Ovis aries: one gene and its partner. The protein of the gene in region 1 interacts with the protein of each later gene in a biochemical or structural test. Links are inferred from orthologs where the notes say so. Each region holds a gene or a part of one and is shown on either strand. Other genes may lie near its edges.

Region 1 (12,009 bases):
TTTTAAAGATTTTACATGTAATTATCAGGTTATTTGGTTCCAAGTCATTTAGAAAGCTATAGAGAACTACTCTTGGAAAAACATATTTTGAAATGATTTTTCTCAAGTGGCCTATTGTGTGTTTTTCATACTCTAACGCATTACCTTGCAGGCATCTTTTCCTCCTTCTTTATAGCCAGCACAGATCATCTGTTTGGTTATTTTATAATCTCTGTAACTTTTCTGGCATTCTTCATTTGATATCAAAGGAATATTTGCCTTTTGTAGGGTATTTTGGATTTTACCTGAGAGGCAACATCAGAAGGAGGCAATAAGATAAATATAGAAGTAAGACTACAGTCTTAAATGAGAATGCTGAAGTTTCCATGAAGGTCATTTCTTCACATAATAATTTTTGTATGTCTGTGTCTGTAATAGGGGCTTCCTAGGTAGTACGAGTGGTGAAGAACCTTCCAATGTAGCAGACCTAAGAGATGCAGGTTTGATCCCTGGGTCGGGAAGATCCCCTGGAGGAGGACATGGTAACCCACTCCAGAATTCTTGCCTGGAGAACCTCATGGATGAGGAGCATGACGGGCTACAGTCCATAGTGTCCCAAAGAGTCAGACTCTACTGAAGTAACTTAGCACATATGCATCTATAGTAGATGATGGATGCTAACCTAATTTATAATAGTGATCATTTCACAACATATAAAAGTCAAAACATCATTCTGTGCAGCATAGACTTATGCAGTCATGTATGTCAATTATATCTCAGTAAAACTGGAAAAAGTATACATACGTGTGCTTAGTCGCTCAGTCGAGGCCTACTCTTTGTGACCCCATGGACTGTAGCCCGCCAGGCTCCTCTGTCCGTGGGACTCTCCAGGCAAGAATTCTGGAGTAGGTTGCCACATCCTCCTCCAGGGGATCTTGCCAACCCTAGGGGATCCAACTCTAGTCTCTTACATCTCCTGCCTTAGCAGACAGGTTCTTTTCCCCTAACACCACCTGGGAAGCCCCTCAACATGTATAGTAGGTCCTTATTGGTTATCTACATATACACACTGCTATACATAAAATGGATAACCAATAAGGCCCTACTGTATAGTATGGGCAATGCTACTCAATACTCTGCAATGAGCTGTATGGGCAAAGAATCTAAGAGTGGATATATGTATAACTGATTCATGTTGCTATGCAACAGCGAGTCACACAACATTGTAAATCAACTATACTGCAATTTAAAAAGGTTTTTAAAAATCTATAGTTCTCAATTTGGCAGGAATGAACTATACAGTTTATAATAAAGTTGATTTACATTGATTGTTAAGAAATAAGGGCTTCCCTGGTGGCTCAGATGGTAAAAAGTCCACCTGCAGTGCAGGAGACCCAGGTGTGATCCCTGGGTCAGGAAGATCCCCCAGAGGAGAACATGGCAATCAACTCTAGTACTCTTGCCTGGAGAATCCCATGGACAGAGAGGAGCCTGGCAGGCTACAGTCCAAGGGTTCTCAAAGAGTCTGACAGGACTGAGCTATTAACACTGTCATTTTCAAAGTATTCTGATAAGTTGCAGTGTCATTGGTTTTCTTTGTAATCCTATGTGTTTTATTTATGGGTATAAAAGCATTAGAGAAGAGGTTCACAGGCTTTACCAGGTTGCAGGAAGGATGTGTTTTAAAAAAATATTTAAAAGCCTTCCAGAAAGAGAGATGACATGTCTGCCTATACTCCTGGTTATTAATCCAAGGGATAACAGTGGCCTTGGGAGATGGGAACTCTATTAATTCTGAGGACAGGATGGGCTTGGGGAAGTTGTTTGTCCTGCATGGGACCAATCCTTTAGAAGAAGTCAAACAAAGACTCTTAAGAGATTACCCTAGGAATTTTTCCAGGACCAAGCAAAACTGTCTTCTCAAGAATTACTGAATACATATGTGGGAATGAATAGTTATGGAAAAAATCACGAGTCTGGATATAACTTTAGAGGCCAATGAAACAAATCCACTCCTGTGTTTTAACATATAAAATGCCACGTGGTACCTTTTTCCTCTGTGAAGCCCCATCCAGTTATCCAACAGTCAGTGTAAACTGGTTTTGTATCATCTTTGGAAGGGAGGCATATTGCTTTTTGCAAATCTGAAAGGTAATTTTTACATTAGAGTTTGGCTAGATTTAGTTATGAACATTGACTTTAAAAATACATACTCTCCCCGCCCCTATATTCTCTTTCTCTAGAGTAGCACCAAGTAGAATACACCTTTTACTTTCCACTGAGTTTCCAAGGTCAGGGACTCAAGAAAATATCTCAGCAATCACAGTCATTTTGGGTGTTAAATTTTAAAATTCCGAACCCAAATTTACTGTCAAGAGCCTTTACAAGTTCTTATGTATGATTCCCTCAATAGTAATAGCAGAGGGGTCTACACTGTTTTAAGCATGATTTTTAGGCACTTTAACTTATTAACTGATTTTAATAACAATCCTATTAGGGGGTAACTGGAGTCAAGGACATCCTGCCCTGAGATCACAGAATCTTTAGCAGACCCAGCAGGCATCCAGCAACTGCGGAGCTTTTTATATGTCCAAACGCACCCCGTCCAACCACAAAGCTATTGTCTCCCAGAATTGCCTTGTCCAACAGTCTCTTCCCTACTCAGGTTTTACCTGGAAATTAATATTTGAATATGCTTGCCCCTCAGATACTCCCAATATGCCTAGGCCCAAGGCAATGCTAATTCTGCTACTCTTGTCAAAGGAAGTCATGCTCCCTTCCATGTCTGTTATTATTTCAATAGTATAATATGCAGCTGTATTCCTTCCTGAAAGAACTAAGTAACACATCTTGGCCCTTAAGTAGAAGACATTTTATGTCAAGTTTCAAATTATTTTTCCTGGCAATACTCATCTTTCCCGCAACTTTACTAACCAGAAAATAAAGACAGTCTCCTTAGATTCCGACCCCTCCTTGAAACTGATCTGAAAATTTAAACCAACACAATTCAGCAATACATGTCTCCTTAAATATGCTACGTACCAGTAAAATTCAAAGGAGCCTCAAGTTTTATTAAGGCAATGTCATGACTGCCTTCTGAGGTTTTATAATTTGGGTGGACAATAATCTCTTTGATTTGTGAGAAAGATGTCTCTGTTGTTATCTCTGACAGATTTAAAATGCCACCATAAATGCGCCAAATATTTGACAAGAGAAGCCTAGGAGGGAAAAATAAGAACTGATTTGAAACCAGAAAGACTGGCCTTTCATATTGCTCTTTTCTCCTTTCTCTTTACCTTTCAAAAAAGAACTGGGAAGAAAATACTACATATAACATATGTTTCAGTTCAGTCAGTTCAGTCGCTCAGTCATGTCCAACCATTTGCAACTCCATGAATAGGAGCACGCCAGACCTCCCTGTCCATCACCATCTCCCGGAGTTTACTCAAACTCACATCCATCGGGTTGGTGATGCCATCCAGCCATCTCATCCTCTGTCGTCCCCTTCTCCTCCTGCCACCAATCCCTCCCAGCATCAGAGTCTTTTCCAATGAGTCAACTCTTCTCATGAGGTGGCCAAAGTACTGGAGTTTCAGCTTCAGCATCATTCCTTCCAAAGAACACCCAAGGCTGATCTCCTCTAGAATGGATTGGTTGGATCTCCTTGCAGTCCAAGGGACTCTCAAGAGTCTTCTCCAACACCACAGTTCAAAAACATCAATTCTTCAGCACTCAGCCGTCTTCACAGTCCAACCCTCTCATCCATACATGACCACTGGAAAACCATAGCCTTGACTAGACGGACCTTTGTTGGCAGAGTAATGTCTCTGCTTTTCAAAATGCTGTCTATGTTAGTCATAACTTTTCTTCCAAGGAGTAAGCGTCTTTTAATTTCATGACTGCAGTCACCATCTGCAGTGATTTTGGAGCCCCCCAAAATAAAGTCTGACACTGTTTCCACTGTTTCCCCATCTATTTCCCATGAAGTGATGGGACCAGATGCCACAATCTTCATTTTCTGGATGTTGAGCTTTAAGCCAACTTTTTCACTCTCTTCTTTCACTTTCATCAAGAAGCTTTTTAGTTCTTCTTCACTTTCTGCCGTAAGGGTGGTATCATCTGCATATCTGAGGTTATTGATATTTCTCCTGGCAATCTTGATTCCAGCTTGTGCTTCCTCCAGCCCATTGTTTCTCATGATATACTCTGCATATAAGTTAAATAAGCAGGGTGACAATATACAGCCTTGACGTACTCCTTTTTCTATTTGGAACCAGTCTGTTGTTCCATGTCCAGTTCATATGTTTACATACCTAATTTCTCCTTGCAATTTAGCACCAACAGCAGCAGTGCTGAACTCTGAAGATTTAGTTAAAAATATTGGGAAGTGTATAATTATGTCATGTTTTCTGTAAGTGAATATAGAAGAATGTTGCTGTCTCTTTCTGAGATAAACTGTTTGGGAGATATCTCACAGTCTATCATGGAAAATCATTCACCAAGTTGAAAGCAATCACTTCCATGAAATTCAGAACTGGCAAGAAAGAATGACTGTATACAAGTCTCTCTGTAACCAGATAGGATAGTGGGTCCCCAGAGAAAGAGATCCAGTCATGGTTTTCTTGATATAAAAGAAACCATTTTTAGCTTAAGCCATTTTGTGATCTAAGCCTGGCCACAATGCTAGTCCTTGAATGTACTCAGTCGCTTCAATCGTGTTGGACTTTTTGCAACCCCATGGACTATAGCCCGCCAGTCCATAGTGTTTTCCTGGCAAGAATACTGGAGTGGGTTGCCATGACCTCCTCCAGGGGATTCTCCCCAACCAGGGATCAAACCTACGTCTTTTGCATTGCAGGCAGATTCTTTATGGCTAAACCACAGGAAAGTCCTGTCCTTGAATACGTCTCAGTAATTAATGATCTTAAAGGGAATAAAAGAATGCAGAGACAAAGGACTATTACACGTTAGAGAAGTAACAATAGCAAAGATTATGGATCAGCTGTAAAGACTCCTAGGTATCTTTCAATGGCAAAGATTAGCCAGAAGCACTCAACCACTGGATCAACTGGAACCTAAGATATGGTGATGTTGACTTTTTTTGACCCTCATGACTTCAATCAACCAAGGCCTGAACTCAGGCCAAGGCCCTTCAATAATATGCGTGTACCCTTAGCTTAAAACTTCTCCAGTTCTGTTGTTTGGGGATACAATTTCTTTGGGAAAGATCCCCAGTGTTCTCCTTACTCACTGCAATAATAAATCCTTCCTTCTCCCAGTTTTTGGCTTGGTTGTGTCTTTTGACATCCAACCAAGAGGAAAACCCAGTTTTTACGTAATGCCTCTAATAGGGGAAATGAGAGGAACCTCAGCACTATTTAAATTATATGTATATTTTGGGAATGTGTGAAAATTTAAATTAACTCTTTGAATATGGATATATGCAAAATAAGTCTAAAATTACTATGTAGAGCAAAGTTATAGGATAAATAAGTTCTGGGGATATAACATACAGCATGGTGACTACAGTTAACAGTGGCGTGCATGGGCGCTCAGTCATGTCCAACTCTGCGACCCCATGGAGCCCACCAGGCTCCTCTGTCCATGGAATTTTCCAGCCACAAATACTGGAACAGGTTGCCATTTCCTCCTCCAAGGAGGCTTTCCAACCCAGGGATCGAACCTTCCCTGGAGGCAGGCGGATTCTTTATCCCTGAGTTACCTGGGAAAGTTGCTGAGACAGAAAATCTCCAAAGTTTTGACCACCAAAAGCTATTGTAACTTTGTAGAGGGATGGATATTAATAAACTGACACAATGATGTAGAAATTGATTATAGAGTCTTCAAAACAAAGAGGCTAGATACAACTCCAGATAAGATGCAGCCAAACCTTACCCATCGAAGCAATGGGCAGCAGTTAAGACCCACTGTCGTCCAATGATTGACCCTCCGCACAGGTGGCTCTGAGCTCTCAGCTTCACTTGCAGGCTGACCTGCCAGGGCCACTCTCCCCAAGAAGCATCTGTTCCTCCAACAATGCGTCCCCTTTTTGTGGTACAGACTAAAAAGAGAGCATTGAAGTTAATGGTTGGGATCAGAGGGTGAATCACAGTCCCCTTCAGTTAAGGAAAACAAGACACATAGTTCCATTATAGAAGATTTAAAAAGGTATCTAAACAACTCAGACATCCCTCTACAGTTTTATGAAAAAAGTGAGATTTACTCACCACGGTTGTCCCCACGTTTACACAACCTCAAAGAATAACCAGAGCTTGCTCGCGTCCCATAAGTAATGTTAGTTGGTGAGCCATCCAAAGACAAGCGTAAGGAACACTTACACCTAGACAAGACGATCAGCATGAGAGTAAACCTCAGAGGGTGAAAGCCCAGGAAATTATCTGCCAACTGTTTTTGAAAAATAAGCATTCACTAACTTCTCTCCTCTACAGTCTTCTGGGAATAAAGAATAAGTAAAAAACTGACAGCGAATCATCTTTGTACAGGTCTCTTGGCAATCATCCACTCCTTTAACGAAGGTCGCATGCAGCTCTTCTCCTTCAAAAGCAACTTGCGGGTAAATTTTGGAGTGGCAGGGCTCTGTGCCTAGGACAAATGTAAAAAAGATAGAAAATGCAAATGATAAGCCACACATACACAAGTTTCTGGAACACTGAGGCTTGTTAGAAGATCATAGAATGGATCACATTTTGTGTAATATTTTTTTATCAAATCGCATTACCAGGCAGAGTTTGTTTGCAGGTTAGAAGGCTGTATCCAGAGATGGCATTTTCCTGAGGAGTAGGGGAACTCGGGCTCCCACTTTGGGAAGTCTTGAGGAAACAAACGTTTCTATGGTCAAAAAAAAAAAAAAAAAGGGCAAGAGAAAGAAAGAAAACCCCATTAAAGGCAAATACAAGAACACCTCATATCAAACCCCGCCCCCTGCAAATTTTATTCTTCTGAGAAATTCCCTCCAAAGAACATCAGACTACAGGACTCTAGTGAATTACAGAGATTAAATGTAAATCAAGCCACATCTCCCTCTGAAGAAAACTTACAGGCACAGATAGCCCGAAAAGAGGAGAAAGGTAAAGTTCTACCTTCTAATTTAAAAAAAAAAGAAGAAAGAACAGATTCTGGGGATTTATGGTGCTGATGCTATCATAACCTGATACCCTTCTCTTAGCTCCATCTCGTGTGTAAAGAAAAGGACAGGTTATCTATGGGTCAAGAGATGGAACCGGAACCTTCATCAGGATAAACAGGGCTCTAGTTTCTGAAACACTGGGGTCAGAACAAAGGAGCTTAAAGGATATGCTCCGAGTGAGTGGTTTACTTCAAGCTAATACAAAACATTAAGATTAGTAGGAAAGGTACCCATGGCTATTGTTTCATTGATTGGATGGTCTGTTTAAGTAAGAGAAGATGGGTAGGAAAGTCTGCTAATCTCTTAACTAATCCGCACCTGGCAGAAGAGCCTCTATTTAAACTATGAGTTCAAGTGTTTTTTGTTTTGTTTTGTTTTGTTTTTAATTAAAAAAATTTATTTTATATTGGAGTATAGCTAATTAAAAATCTTGTGATAGATTCAGGTGGACAACAAAGGGACTCAGCCATACATATACATATATGCTTCTTCTCCGAACTCCCCTCCCAACCAGGCTGCCATATAGCGTTGAGCAGAGTTCCCGGTGCTATACAGTAGGTCCTTGTTGGTTATCCACTTTAAATATAGCAGTGTGTACATGTCCACCCCAAAGTCCCAAACTATCCCTCTCCCCCGCCACTTTCCCCTCTGGTAACCATAAGTTCATTCTATGAGTTCAAGTGTTTTGAGGGAAATGAACAAAACTTGGGAAAAACTCAAAGTATAAAATGAAAATGATGCCAAAACAGTAGCAAACGTGACCCACGCCTACTGACCTCTGTGAGTCTGTCTTCCACGCATTTGTATAGAATGTGAAGAAAAGGCAGCTGGGGTGATAGGTGCAGATGGTTCGACACACGAAAGCATCTGGTGCGATAACTCTGGCAACATCCACATCTGAAAACGCACGATGTTGGAAAATGTCCACGCGGCAGCCTGTGAACCCACAGGGGAAGACGTACATGTCACGATGCTACACGTGCTTGTACTTCGTCATCATAACTAAGGAAACTATGACTGTTGTTTGTACACAGAACTACACATCCTTAGCGAAAAAAATGTCTGTTGCAACATCCCCAAGCTTGTTGTTTGCCATTTGGGAGAAGAAAAAATTGGTCTCAATCTGATAAAAGACAGACACCTATGTCAGAGAAATAAAATGTCTTAACCTGTGCTCTATCCTACTTGGTCCGAAATACCTAAGCTACTCAGCTTTTGTTTATATTTTCTTTATATTACCCTGACCCTGAAATTCAGGCCTTAGGCACATGAGCTTTTGTGTTATGTTTTCCTGACTATGTTAATAGAAACATCATATTTAAATAAAGACATCAACAAAAACCTGAATTTCTAACAAAAATGCCGTGTACCCATTAGAAGAGGAAATCTACTTTCATTCTCCATAACATAATTATATCTCAATTATACTTTTACTTATGTTCTTATTATTTACTCAATTTGATAACGCATAAAGTATTTCATTTCCTGGGTCAGGAAAATCCACTGGAGAAGGGATAGGCTACCCACTCCAGTATTCTTGGGTTTCCCTTGGTGGCTCAGCTGGTAAAGAATCTGCCTGCAATGTGGGAGACCTGGGTTTGAACCCTGGGTTGGGAAGATCCCCTGGAGAAGGGAAAGGCTACTCACTCTGGTATTCTGGCCTAGAGAATTCCATGGACTGTATAGTCCACGAGGCTGCAAAGAGTCAGACATGACTGAGCAACTATCACTTTCACTTTAAAAGTCTATTAGGGCCTCTCAGGTGGTTAAGCAGTAAAGAATCTGCCTGCAATGCAGGAGACACAGCAGGAGCCACAGGTTTGATCCCTGAGTCAGGAAGATCCCCTGGAGGAGGAAATGGCAACCCACTCCAGTAGTCTTGCCTGGGAAATCACATGGACAGAGGAGCCTGGCAGGCTACAGTCCATGGGGTCACAGAGTTGGACATTTGCAAGGAAAGTTATACCAAACCTAGACAGCCTATTAAAAAGCAAAGACACCAGTTTGCCAGCAAAGGTCTGTATAGTCAAAGCTATGGTTTTTCCATTAGTCATGTACGGATGTGAGAGGTGGGCCAAAAAGAAGGCTGACTGCTGAAAAATTGATGCTTTTGAACTGTGGTGCTGGAGCAGACTCTTGGGAGTCCCTCTGATTGCAAGGAGATTAAAGGAAATCAACCCTGAATATTCATTGGAAGGACTGATGCTGAAACTGAAACTCCAATACTTTGGCCACTTGATACAAAGAGCTGACTCATTGGAAAAGGCTCTGATGCTAGGAAAGTTTGAAAGCAAAAGGAGAAGAGGGTGGTAGAGAATGAGATGATTGTATAGCATCATCGACTCAATGGACATGAATTTGAGCAAACTCCAAGAGATAGTGAAAGACAAGGAAACCTGGTGTGCTGCAGTCCATGGAATTGCAAAGAACTGGACATGATTTATCCACTGAAAAACAAAAACAAATTCTATTAAAATTATGTAAGCTTAAAGAATAATGGTAGCAATTATGAGAAAGACAAAAAGAATCCAAATTTAAATGAACATAGTTGGATCAAGAGAGTGTGCCTGTCACACATAATATCTTCAGATGGGAAGTTTAGGAAATTAGACCTCAACTAATTAAATCTTTTTTTAAAAAAATCAGACTTTAAGCTGGAAGAGAATTTATGGGATTCCATGTCTACCTACAACTGCATCCTGTCAAGTAGTTCAACCTTTATTTCAGATGTTTATAATGACAAGGAGCTGACTACCTCATGGCAAGTTTCATTTCTGGACCACTCTACAAGTCAGAATTTTTTTCTTATTTTCATCATAGTTGTATCTATTTTATGAAACCACACAGATTAGTCTAATCCTTTTCCCAATGACCGCTCTTCAAAAACAAAAATTTAAAACAGTCATCCTGACTTTTTAGGGTTAAATGTCCAATTTGTTTCTTTAATGGTATCTTATTTGCCTATGTTTCTAGGTATCTCAGGATCTTGGTTACTCTCTTTTGACGTGTCTGTTGCTCCAAACAAAATACGGAACGCATTGCTGAATATAAAGTGCAGTCACAGTCTGACCTGTCAAGATGACAAAAGAACAGGGGCTAACTATGTTCCAAAGACCATGCTGTTTTTTAAAGCTAGTTTCGTTTTCATTTGTTTTGTTTGTCAAAAGCACTGCAAGATGTCAGTAGGAATGACAGAGTAAAGACCTTCCGAAACCCCTTCCTCCATTAAAAACAAAACAAAAAAAGAAACAAGCACTGGCCAGAATGTCAAAATCAATGTCGTTTCAGAACTCTAGAAGTGAACCAAAGGCTGATAACAGTCCAGGGAGTTTTTATCCAAGAGCAACAGCCAAATCTCAGCAAGAGCCCTGAGTTCTGTGAGGTTTTTAACTTGCCCTCTCATCCCCTCTCCACAGCTCCATGGAAGCCTTGAAAATACCCACAATTGTGGGGAAAACCAGCAGGCTAACAGGCCTCAGGAGGGGGCAGAACAGAGTTGGAGCTACTCCCAAGCCCTGTCCCCAGATAACTGTCATTATTTGACTGGAGGTTCTCAGGAAAACCCCACTCCCAAGGACTGAGTTTCTTTGGCCTGATTCAGAACTTCCTCAGTGTCAACAGCCTTTTCCTTGAAAGTATTTGTCAAAAAAAAAAAAAAAAAAAGATTGTGACTATTATACAACATTGTAGCTGCTTAAGTCAGTAGTAATAATAGGGGCATACCACAAGCCAATGAGAATCTTAGAAGGAAAACCAAGGAGAGTTTGAAAATCTCTGAGATATTCCTAGGGATCTGGAAAGCCATACACTTGACTATGTGCACGACAGAGGCTCTGCACATTTCCCGTGCTGGGAAAGCCCCGGGCCCTCACTGAGGACTGACTTTGACCTCTGGGAGCTCCATGTCAGCACAAAGTGGAGGCCAGGGCAAAGTTGTAAAGAGCAGGGCAGGGCAGTGAAACACATGCCCTAAGTCTCACAAAAAGCCCCTTGTCCAAGGCTGGCAAACTCACTACTTGTAGGCACCCAAGGAAACGTCTGTCCTGTCATTAGAAAACTGTAGGGGAAGCTGAGCACAGACATCCGTGGTCATGCCACAAAAGAGACTAACCACCGTGTGCAGTTAGCTCAGGAAAGTCCCCAAACAAACAGCAACAGCATCACAAAACAGTAACAACAACAATAAACTCTGAGGAAGGAAGGGATTTGATGTCCAGAGTTTGTCACATGCTTGTACTTAAAAAGTCTAATTTTTTTTTTTTTTTTTTTACAAAACAATCATGAGACATGTCAAGAAACAAGGAAATATGGCCCATACACAGAAGTAGAGGTCAATATAAACCACCACTAAGGAAGCAAGAACATTGGGTTTACTATACCAAGACTTTACATCAGCTATTTTAAATATGTTCAAAGAACTAAAGGAAACCATGTCCAAAGAACTGGAGAGGGACCTTCCCTGTTGGTCCAATGGTTAAGATTTCGCCTTCCAATGCAGAGGATGTGGGTTTGATTCCTGGTAGGTGAGCTAAGCGGAGAAGGCAATGGCAACCCACTCCAGTACTCTTGACTGGCAAATCCCATGGACGGAGGAGCCTGGTGGGCTGCACTCCATGGCGTCGCTAAGAGTCGGACATGACTGAGTGACTTCTCTTTCACTTTTCACTTTCATGCATTGGAGGAGGAAATGGCAATCCACTCCAGTGTTCTTGCCTGGAGAATCCCAGGGATGGGGGAGCCTGGTGGGCTGCCATCTCTGGGGTCGCACAGAGTTGGACACAACAACAGCAGCAGCAGGCAAGCTAAGATCCTACATGCCTCATGGCCAAAAAAAAAAAAAAAGCCCCAAAACATAAAACAGAAGCAATATTGTGACAAATTCA
Region 2 (12,009 bases), on another chromosome or scaffold:
TTCTACAGGCTTAGTCCGTAAAACTAAGCTATCTAATGCTACCTCCCCATTTATATGACAGGTCCCACATGGATTATTTCAATCCTAGTTAGACTAGGAAACCGAGTCCAAAATGGCGGTGGCTAAAAGACAAGGAAGGGAAAAGCCCGTGAAAATAGAACAAAGGAAGGTCAAAGGAAGGTCCGAGGACCTGAGTGAGGACCTCAGGTAGAACAAACAGCACTCCTGCTAGCCCTATTTACATAGGGCAGGCCCAGGGGGAGGAAAAAACAAATAAAAAGAGGAGCCAAAGCACAGGCTTTCTCCCTCTCCCTCTCTCTCTCTCCCCCTCCCCACCTCCACCCCCACCGCAGGCTGGCGCGCTCTCCCACTCTCTCCTCTTTGTGTCTTTGAGTCGGCATGCCCTCAGCCTTGAGGATGGATTCTCTTGCTATTTTCTAAATAAAATAGAGCTGTAACACTGATTTGTCTAAGAGCTATAACACGGTCTGTCTAAGACCTGAGAGCTGTGACGTGCTGAGGGCTTTAATGTCCGTCGCTCCAAATCTTTATTGTGATGAGAAAGAACCGAGGGGCATATACTCGCCTGACAAATCTAAACTCCCACTTGGTAGCACAGGGAACTATACTCAATATCTCTTAATAATCTATAATGGAAAAGAATCTTAAAAAGAATACATCTACCTATCTATCTGTATATATACACGTAGGTATACACACATATGGGCTTCCCAGCTGGTGCTAGTGGTAAAGAACCTGCCTGCCAATGCAGATGTAAGAAATACAGGTTCAGTCCCTGAGTTGGGAAGATCCCCTGGAGGAGGGCATGGTAACCCACTCCAGTATTCTTGCCTGGAGAATTCCACGGACAAAGGAAACCGGTGGGCTACAATCATAGGGTCGCAAAGAGTCAGGCATGACTGGAGAGACTTTGCACTCGTATATACACATGTCAATCATTTGCTGTACAGTTGAAAGTAATGCAACATGTTAGGTCAACTATATTTCAATAAAACTTTTTTTTAAGAACCATCTCACTTGGGCTTCATTTTCTCTCTCCACTTTGGTCCTTCCACCTCTTCAACATCTTCCCATCACATTAGTCAAGTTCACTGCTCCCCAAAGATGCTGCTTGGATTAAATATCTGTTCCCTATGCTTTGTCTTGGTTTCCCAAAGGGATTGTAAGCTCTTCAAGGGAAAGCATTCATGTCTTTTGAAATGTATTTCTCTTCTTTTTGCTTTGAGGCTCCCATAGGCTGAACATGAAGTGAAGTGAAGTGAAGCGAAAGTCACTCAGTCACATCCAACTCTTTGCGACACTATGGACTTCTTCATGGAATTTTCCAGGCCAGAATACTAGAATGGGTAGCCTTTCCCTACTCCAGGGGATCTTCCCAACCCAGGGATCGAACCCAGGTCTCCCGCAGTGCAGACGGATGCTTTACTGGCTGAGCCACAAGGGAAGTAAAAGAATACTGGAGTGGGTAGCCTATTCCTTCTCCAGCAGCTCTTCCTGACCCAGGAATCGAACTGGGGTCTCCTGCATTACAGGCGGATTCTTTACCAACTGAGCTATCAGGGAAGCATATAGGCTGAATATGTGAACCCAACTCGACTAAAGATGAGTAGAAGCACCAATCACCACACACATGCTCCGAGCACTCAGGACACCTCAAACATGTGATGAGCTGCCAAGTATTTAAACTAAGACTGACAAAAAAGACACACCCACTTCTGCCATCTTGATGGCATCTTCATCTTACTCTGTAATTCTTTAAAAAGATTGCACAAGTTTCTTTTTGTTGACTGCCTCTTCAGTCTGGACAGTACAATGGAGGGAAATGTCTTAAATAAAAACTCAACATTTAAGATACAATAAAAATATTTCTTTTTCTCAGGACTGACTATGGTAAATAGCTAATGCCTGTGCTTGGCTCTATTCTAGTTTATCATGAGCAAGACTCAGAATAGCACCAGATATAATGAAATATTTCATAAGGGTTTTGGAGTGAAATCATAATCATCCCAGAGTCAGAAATTATCTTGATGTGTTTTTCGTAATGACAATATTGATAATACTGTAAAGCCCCGTGATAACACAGTGTGATAAAGTTCAAAGGTCTGAGTTTGAATACCAGCTCTGTCACATATTAACTCTGTGACTCTGGGAAGGGCTCTATGAGCTACAGCTTCCTCATTGTAGAGGAAAGGTGATCACGGAGACCTCAGAGTGGTGGTGAGGATTAAGTTACACCACGAAAGGAGGCTTCAATACGTGTTTGTTACAGAAAATCCTAAATCTCTTATCTTTTATTCTAATGGTTTTCTATTTCTTTTCTTTTACCCAGATCAGAAAGATAATTTTACATTTTCTTTCAACTTTTTTGAGACTCAGTATTTTTTGATAATGAGAAGTTGGTAGATATATTAACAAAAGACTTTTTTCTTTTTTGGTAATAATTTAGATCATAAAAAACTAATATAAGACAAAATCTCTCAGCATTGGGTTGGGAATCAGGAGGAGAAGGAAGAAAGAAAGGGAGAGAGTCCTTAGATCCATGGTGGAAACATGACCCACTACCCCTTGATTGAGCACCCATGACAAGGTCTCTGTGATAGGGAAGCCCCAGCTAAGGGATCCTGCCTCAGTGAACAAGAATGCTCCAGGGCTGCACTGTGAGCCCCTAGGGCAAAGCCCTAGTGCTGGCTCTCTGATCATCTTGACTTGGCTGCAGGTTGGTTGTGACTGAAAGGAGACCAGCGTGAATTAACCAGGAGGGGAACATAAGGATGGAACTTTATTTCACTCAGTCACAGAGGGATAAAATGACATTCTTCTCTATTTAAATTCTACCCCATCTTCTTGTCCTTCCACGCAGGGCTGCTGACAGAGGTTGTCGGGTCTATTGTGCCAACCGTGGAGATTCTGCCGGTAAATTGACCTCACCCTGAGGTGCTGGCTCTGCCCCTGCCTCTTGAGGTCGGCCCTTGTACTCGCAGGACCTTACGTGCCTCTGTAAGTATAGTAAAACTCTGTTAATCTGAGGTTATCGTTCAAAGGGAGGAAGGTGAAGCCACTAATTGACAAGATGAGACCTTTTCCTGAGATCACTGGTACTTTATTTGCAAGTACAGATAATATTTGGAATGAAATAAAAACTCAGTGGCTCAAATGCATCCAATAAATTGAAGAAACAGTGACGTGCATCCGCAGGTGAGTGTAGGTATCCAAAGCCCTATTTCCCTAGGCAAAAGCACAGCAGGGGTTGTGAAAGACATGCCTCCCTCACATTATCAGTAAATTAAAGATAATCATATTATTCTTTCCTGCAAAAGTCCATATACTTCAATGTTATAGCAAAAGAAAATGCAAGTATAAAGGCTAGAAAGAATTTCTCACAAAATCTCTGAACAAAATTTGCATCACATCTCATGATATTCCCTTATCAATTATTAAAAAAAGATTTCCTCAAGCAGGCCAGCCTTTGTATTACTTCTGCCTTCCATCCTTATCATTAAACTCAGAGCTATTGAACAGTAAGGGTTACTCACTCTAAAGCTGGCAACATACAAACAGAAAACTCCTATTTGAAAGCCCTATTGCAAAGCATAGTTAATGAGTAAACAGAAATTACTGACTTACAAGAAACACTCTCACCCAGAAAGAGAATTATCAGCATAGTTTTGTCACATGGGAGTAACTGAGATTACTAGCCCATTTTGGAAACAGAAAGTCAATTTATTTTCTCTGTCCTCCCTTTGGCCAATCTGTCTTTCTCTCTTGTTCCTCTTTGACCTCTGGAGGTTTTTATTATTTTTTTCCCTCCATTAAGAAGTTCAGCATTCAGTCTCTTAACTTCTCTTATTGCCACATATGGACCAGATGTTACAGTTTATTCAAATGTCAAGAATCTTTGTATGAAAATTGATGATGTACATTTTAAGGTACACATTCATTATCAGAAAAGCAACTGCAGTAGGCCACAGTATATTAGTTTGTCCATTTTCTGTGCTAGGTAAGAAAACTTGGGAGGAGAGCTCAGAAAGGAGTTAGAATTCTGCACAAAGTTTTATGTCATCCATAGAGATTGATGTTGTTCCCATGGGGAGTCTCACCATTTATTTCTCTCTAGGCTGTTCTGAATGTTCATGGGTTTTAGTGTATTATATGAGGATCTTTGGACAATGGGGACAGGGGTTGATGAGATGTTAAAGAAATAACCCTGGCTGCCTAAATTAAGAAAGAGCATCAATGAGATCAAAATCATGAGACTCTTCCATTTCCACAGTTGGATTCACTCCATTAACTGGCTTCCAGGGGCGACCAGGACATTTGGGGGAGGTTGTTTCTGGAAAATCCGAAATCAATTTAAATGCAAGGCTATTTGGCTCTATCTGGATGTCAGGGATCCAGTCATCATCACTCTCTGTGGGAGGTGGTAGTGTATTAGGCATCACAGTTGCAATGAGATCTGAGTCCTGAAAGCCAGGAAAGGTCACGGCTACACCTGGCTGGGCTGGGGAAGGGAGTGTTGTCTCCTCTGTCTTCTCTCGCATCTGTGCAGAGGATGTAGTGCTATCTTCATAAGAACTTGCCAAATAGTGTGTCCTCCAATCATACTGCTTTCCATGGTTTTTTCCTTTGTTTTTATGTTTTCCGTGGCCATGACCATGCTTATGTCCATGGCCAAGACCATGCTTATGTCCATGGCCAAGACCATGACCCCTATGGCGCCCATGACCTTGCTCATGCTCATGTTTATGGCCAGGGCCAAGGCCATGTAATTTTATTTGCTTTTCATGGTCCCAGCCATGCCCATGAGTGGGTCCTTGTTCTTTTCCTGAATCCTGCTCTTCATCTTGTACAGGTGACATGGTAGAGTGGGGTAGACTTACAGTTGTTTTTTCTTCAGGTTTCATCACTTGTACTGATCGGAAAGGTGAAAAACCCGGAGGCCTTTTCATGAGTAAGGTCTAAACAGGAAATATTAAAATGAATGCATTACTGTGAAAACCACACTATCAAAGAAGAAAGAAGGGATGGGGGCCTGACAATGTTATCTCAGTTTACGATGGGGAATGTCTTTGCCAGATTTTAAGTGCTATATACATTAATATTCCATAAAGGATGAAAATGAATAATTTTTTCCTCTTTTGATTGACTTAATAATTTAGAGATATTGATTCTTGTTCCTAATAATACTCTAAAATAGAGTTTTTAATCAGGAAAAACTGGATGGTTAACTACATAATCTTTAGGGTACTCTCTAAGCCTATGATTCTATAAGTCATGGCGCATTATTTATTAATTGATACTATTTCTATTAGCACATTACTGCTTTTTATCCAAAAAGATCTTAACTGGTTTTAAGAATGGAATATATAAGCAGCGTATATCCACAGTCACTCCGTTGAATTGAAACACAGGATATATATGTTCACAAGCTTGAAACACAGCCTTTGTATAATGTTTGTATTAAACTATATACATACCTACATATGGCAAAAACCTAAATGCAGAACAAAGGGAGCAGAGGCAACTTGTATTGAAGCTATGGATTTGTGGGTCATTTCTACCTACACACTTACTACCTGTGAGAATGTGGTGGCTGGAGGCAGTGTTTGGTGATTCAAAGAGCATGGTCTTTGAGGTCAAACAAGCCAGCGCCTAGTAGTTCTCAGTATGATGGTGAACAGAGTAGGCTCTGATTTTACCTAGATTTGTATCTGAGCACCACTAGCTTCATTTTCCTTGTATGTAAAATAGGAATGATAAAATCACCTGCCTCGTAGGGTTGTCAGGAGAAAAATATGTCTCAATGTCAAGTCCTCAGTACAGGGTCTAAGATGGAGGAAGCACTTGATGAAGTTATTATCCACTTTAGGACTTTAGCATCTTTGTAATTTTTAGTGTCTCAATCTTGAAAGTAGGGAAAGTACTACTTACCTCCCAGGGTTCTTCTAAGAAGTAAAAAAATGATGCGACCTAATGCTTCTCAAACTTGCATATGGGTATCACTTTCCTGGGGACTGTGTTAAAATATAGCTTTTGATTCAGGAAATGTAGAGTGGGGTGTGCGACCTATATTTTTCCCAAGCTCCTTGGATGTGCTTCCTTAAGAGAACCTGTGATCTCACGGGACACTGGCCTTGTCGGAGAAGTGATTAAGGGGACAGCTGCTCTCCCTTTCTAGCCATAAGAAGAGAGATCAGCACAGAAATGTGTGTTCTCCCCATTTAAAAAAGATAGTCCTCTCCAACTCATGTAAATAGGGGTTCATTTTCAACCTCCAAATATGATTTTCAGAATGAGCATAGCTAACCCAAACCAACTGCAATTAGAATCATACCCGTCCAGGTGATTGACAGTTGACAGTAGGGTAAACTTTTTCCTCCCAAGGCACCACATAAACATCAGCATCACAGTTTAGAATTAGCTATCCATGAAAATTGAAGGCAAAAGAGAAAACAGTGTTATTCATGGGATACATATATAAGCATAAAACATCATACAGATTTCCAGGGAATCAGTAAGACAGCTGCATTATACTCACACCATGTTTATTGATCTCACAACTCTTGGTCAGCTCTTCATTACTTCCCTTAGAACATGTGGTTTCCCTTGCTATGAACACAATAGAATACTTTTTTCCAGCTACCACCTGGAAAGTGAATTAGCACAAAATAGGAGCTTAATTAATGCTGTGTAATAAATCATACATTTTTATCATAAGGGCTTTTAGGGGAGAATCTTGATATTTTAATTATGTACTGAACGAAGGAGAGTTACCCTCAAAATGCACAAATATTTGATAACAAAACCTTGTATGCACATTAAAATATTTGGCAATTGGGCTTATTTCCTTTTTTAAATGGGAAAAGAAAACAATGCTATAATTTTAATTTTTCTATTTTCCTGAGTTTTATTGTTCAGCAACTGCAAGATTCACCAGAAATTCAAAGGCTCAAGTCATAATATGTAGAATCTAGGACAAGTAAGAAGAAAACTTAAATATTTCCTTTAAACACACCTTTTTGTTCTACCAAAGCTTGAATCAGAGAAAAGCCTCTTGATGAAAGTGAAAGAGGAGAGTGAAAAAGCTGGCTTAAAGCTCAACATTCAGAAAACTAAAATCATGGCATCTGGTCCCATCACTTCATGGCAAATAGATGGGGAAACAGTGGAAACAGTGTCAGACTTTATTTTGGGGGGCTCCAAAATCACTGCAGATGGTGATTGCAGCCATGAAATTTAAAGACGCTTACTCCTTGGAAGGAAAGTTATGACCAACCTAGATAGCATATTCAAAAGCAGAGACATTACTTTGACAACAAAGGTCCGTCTAGTCAAGGCTATGGTTTTCCCAGTAGTCATGTATGGATGTGAGAGTTGGACTGTGAAAAAAGCTGAGTGCTGAAGAATTGATGCTTTTGAACTGTGGTGTTGGAGAAGACACTTGAGAGTCCCTTGGACTGCAAGGAGATCCAACCAGTCCATTCTAAAGGAGATCAGTTCTGGGTGTTCTTTGGAAGGAATGATGCTAAAGCTGAAACTCCAATACTTTGGCCACCTCATGCGAAGAGTTGGCTCATTGGAAAAGACTCTGATGCTGGGAGGGATTGGGGGCAGGAGGAGAAGGGGACAACAGAGGATGAGATGGCTGGATGGCATCACCGACTCGATGGATGTGAGTTTGAGTGAACTCCAGGAGTTGGTGATGGACAGGGAGTCCTGGCGTGCTGCAATTCATGGGGTCGCAAAGAGTCAGACACGACTAAGCGACTGAACTGACCTGAACTGAACTGCTATAGAAATTATGTGGATTAAATTATGTGATTAGCAAAGTTCTTTGGATTTCTAGCTTGCTTCTCTGAGGGTTTTTTTTTTAATATTAAGAAACTATTTTAAGCTCTAGCAAGTTTTAATCATTATAAATACTGCCTTCTGTTAATATTTGTGGCCTAATTTTTTTCTTTTTGGTCTAGAATACGTGTACTGTATTTACTTAAAAAGTAAAAGTCATTGTGTGGTTTTTGCCAATACACTGACTTCAACAAAATTGCAAGCACAGTTTTTTTTAAAAAAGCTTACAGCCTTTATATACTTGAAAAATATACTTTATAAAATGTTTTAAAATTATATATATAAATTTAAAAGGTAGTTAACGTGGTTCAATTTTCAGGCTAAGTTATTCAGCATTTCATTCTAGGATTTAAATGTGTATATGCATAATATTATACAGTTATCAAAAAGAATATATTATACATACCTGTTTCCTGGAAGGTTGACCATTATTGAAAAAATTAAGTTATGGAGTGATAGTATAATTCCATAACATAAGTCTTCCCTTTTTCTTTGTGTTTTTTGAAAAGCATGGAGGAATTACAATGGGGGGAGGATGAGGAGAGCAGAGAACAGGAAGAGCTAAACTACTCCTCTACCTTTTCTGGCATCGTTTTCTAGGTAAGCACAGTAAAATTTATAAGACAAATTTGATAACTTGTAAAACTCCAGACGTGTATAAGCTGGCCAGGGAAGTCCAAAAAGTGTTTTAGAGTATATCCATTGGTGATCATGAATTTCGTTGCTTAGTTTGAGAGTATACTTTAATCCAGTTTTCTGACATTGTTGTTGTTATTTAGTCACTCAGTTGTGTCCAGCTCTATTGAAACCCCATGGATTGTAGCCCACCAGACTCCTCTGTCCATGGGATTTCCCAGGCAAGAATATTGGTGGGTTACCATTTCCTTCTCCAGGGGATCTTCCTGACCCAGGGATTGAACCCCAGTCTCCTGCACTGCAGGTGGACTCTTTACCTCTGAGCCACAGTTGATTAATATGATGTTGCCTAGGAAAGTTGACAATATATGACAAAACTCACAGCTGTTGGCTCAATTCTATTCAAGGTCTAGAGGGGAGGAATAAAGTAGACCTGGTCATGGCAACCCACTCCAGTGTTCTTTCCTGGAGGATCCCAGGGACGGGGGAGCCTTGTGGCTCCTGTCTATGGAGTCGCACAGAGTCGGACATGACTGAACTGACTTAGCAGCAGCAGTAATATCTTGTGTTCAAGAACCTCAAAATTGCATCTATATTGCTGTTCTTATCAGAAGTCTTCCCTGCTTAAGTCTATCCTGTCCAAGTTTTGTTTTTAAAGTATAGAATACTACTTAGTAATGTAAATTCCAATGCCTAAAACATTTAAACTAAATAAGCTAGAAAGGTATAAAAAACATTCATCAGTTCTTAGGATGATGAGGCCTTTCATAGATGAAAAGCAGAGGAAAGAACCTAAAGGAAGGGGGAAAATGTCAAAATCTAACTAGACAAAAATGAAAACTGACTCTCAAATGTCACAGTGAATAAGGTAAAAAGGTAAACTGGAAAAAATATGATGTAGGGTCAGTATTCTTATACACAGAAAGCCCAACACTAAGGAAATGAACCAAAGACATAACCAGCTCTTTTGGAGAAGTTAATAAGATAATTACTATAATGAGAAAATAGAGAAATTAAGGAAACAATTCCATTCACTATTGCAATGAAAAGAATAAAGTACTTAGGAATATATCTACCTAAAGAAACTAAAGACCTATATATAGAAAACTATAAAACACTGGTGAAAGAAATCAAAGAGGACACTAATAGATGGAGAAATATACCATGTTCATGGATCAGAAGAATCAATATAGTGAAAATGAATATACTACCCAAAGCAATGTATAGATTCAATGCAATCCTTATCAAGCTACCAATGGTATTTTTCACAGAGCTAGAACAAATAATTTCACAATTTGTATGGAAATACAAAAAACCTCGAATAGCCAAAGCAATCTTGAGAAAGAAGAATGGAACTGGAGGAATCAACCTGCCTGACTTCAGGCTCTACTACAAAGCCACAGTCATCAAGACAGTATGGTACTGGCACAAAGACAGAAATATAGATCAATGGAACAAAATAGAAAGCCCAGAGATAAGTCCACACACCTATGGACACCTTATCTTTGACAAAGGAGGCAAGAATATACAATGGAGTAAAGACAATCTCTTTAACAAGTGGTGCTGGGAAAACTGGTCAACCACTTGTAAAAGAATGAAACTAGAACACTTTCTAACACCATACACAAAAATAAACTCAAAATGGATTAAAGATCTAAACGTAAGGCCAGAAACTATAAAACCCCTAGTGGAGAACATAGGCAAAACACTCTCTGACATACATCACAGCAGGATCCTCTATGACCGACCTCCCAGGATACTGGAAATAAAAGCAAAAATAAACAAATGGGATGTAATTAAACTTAAAACCTTCTGCACAACAAAGGAAACTATAAGCAAGGTGAAAAGACAGCCTTCTGAGTGGGAGAAAATAATAGCAAATGAAGCAACTGACAAACAACTAATCTCAAAAATATATAAGCAACACTTACAGCTCAATTCCAGAAAAATAAAAGACCCAATCAAAAAATGGGCCAAAGAACTAAATAGACATTTCTCCAAAGAAGACATACAGATGGCTAACAAACACATGAAAAGATGCTCAACATCACTCATTACCAGAGAAATGCAAATCAAAACCACAATGAAGTACCATTTCATGCCAGTCAGAATGGCTGCAATCCAAAAGTCTACAAGCAATAAATGCTGAAGAGGGTGTGGAGAAAAGTGAACCCTTTTATACTGTTGGTGGGAATGCAAACTAGTACAGCCACATTGGAGAACAGTGTGGAGATTCCTTAAAAAAACTGGAAATAGAACTGCCTTATGACCCAGCAATCCCACTGCTGGGCACACACACAGAGGAAACCAGAATTGAAAGAGACACGTGTACCCCAATGTTCATTGCAGCACTGTTTATAATAGCCAGGACATGGAAGCAACCTAGATGTCCATCAGCAGACGAATGGATAAAGCTGTGGTACATATACACAATGGAGTATTACTTAGCTGTTAAAAAGAATACATTTGAATCAGTTCTAATGAGGTGGATGAAATTGGAGCCTATTATACAGAGTGAAGTAAGCCAGAAAGAAAAACACCAATACAGTATACTAACGCATACATATGCAATTTATAAAGATGGTAACGATAACCCTGTATGCGAGACAGCAAAAGAGACACAGATGTATAGAACAGTCTTTTGGACTCTGGGAGAGGGAGAGGGTGGGATGATTTGGGAGAATGGCATTGAAACATGTATAATATCATATATGAAATGAGTCGCCAGTCCAGGTTCAATGCATGATACTGGATGCTTGGGGCTGGTACACTGAGACGACCCAGAGGGATGGTATGGGGAGGGAGGAGGGAGGGGGGTTCAGGATGGGGAACACGTGTATACCTGTGGTGGATACATGTTGATGTATGGCAAAACCAATACAATATTGTAAAGTAATTAACCTCCAGTTAAAATAAATAAATTTATATTTAAAAAGATCATTACTCCTGAACAAGTTGACCTTCATTAATAACCAAGGATAAGCACATTTAAAAAACTATAGAATATCATGTTTAACCTTGCATCTTGTCAAGGATAAAAAACAGAGATGACACCTGGTCAGGTGCGGGAAACATGGAATCTCAGTCACTGCTGGTAGTATTTGAATAGGTCAAGTCAAGACCATCAGCCAGTGTCTTACATCCACATGGTGTGAATGAAAATTGACATAATTGCAAATCATTTGATGATCTGTCAATTTGTATCATAAATCTTAAACATCTACATATTCCTTGACCTTTCTAGGACTTTTTGTCAAAGGAAAATTCCTGAATGTGCACCCATAGATCCTTGAAGTGTATTTATCTGAGCAGAGGCAGGGAAGAACATTGACAGCAGCCATGGGGATAGGGCAAAATGAACGGTATATGACAGAAATCACAACCATTCACATGAGGAAACAAAGGATTTATGAAATGTTTGGTATCTGAAATATGAAACCAACCTGGAATGGACATGTACCCAAATAGGACTAAACATGCAAAGCCAAGGCAAGACTAAAATTGTAA

Evidence for each region.
Region 2: the proteins of plasma kallikrein (region 1) and KNG1 form a complex in vitro, tested with the Homo sapiens proteins (4 studies listed by BioGRID). The link is inferred for Ovis aries from reciprocal best matches to the Homo sapiens genes KLKB1 and KNG1.

What each region holds. Positions count from the first base shown.
Region 1 is NC_056079.1:15,461,452-15,473,460, reverse strand, and holds part of plasma kallikrein, read right to left. Parts: intron 8,063-12,009; coding exon 7,903-8,062; intron 6,829-7,902; coding exon 6,719-6,828; intron 6,583-6,718; coding exon 6,414-6,582; intron 6,320-6,413; coding exon 6,207-6,319; intron 6,041-6,206; coding exon 5,875-6,040; intron 3,198-5,874; coding exon 3,022-3,197; intron 2,124-3,021; coding exon 2,028-2,123; intron 285-2,027; coding exon 145-284; intron 1-144. UniProt on the Homo sapiens protein: Participates in the surface-dependent activation of blood coagulation. Activates, in a reciprocal reaction, coagulation factor XII/F12 after binding to negatively charged surfaces.
Region 2 is NC_056054.1:201,276,342-201,288,350, forward strand, and holds the end of KNG1 (kininogen-1), read right to left. Parts: intron 6,665-12,009; coding exon 6,557-6,664; intron 6,440-6,556; coding exon 6,353-6,439; intron 4,977-6,352; coding exon 4,239-4,976; 3' UTR 3,017-4,238; coding exon of another isoform or gene 2,906-3,016; 3' UTR 2,788-2,905; downstream 1-2,787. UniProt on the Homo sapiens protein: Kininogens are inhibitors of thiol proteases.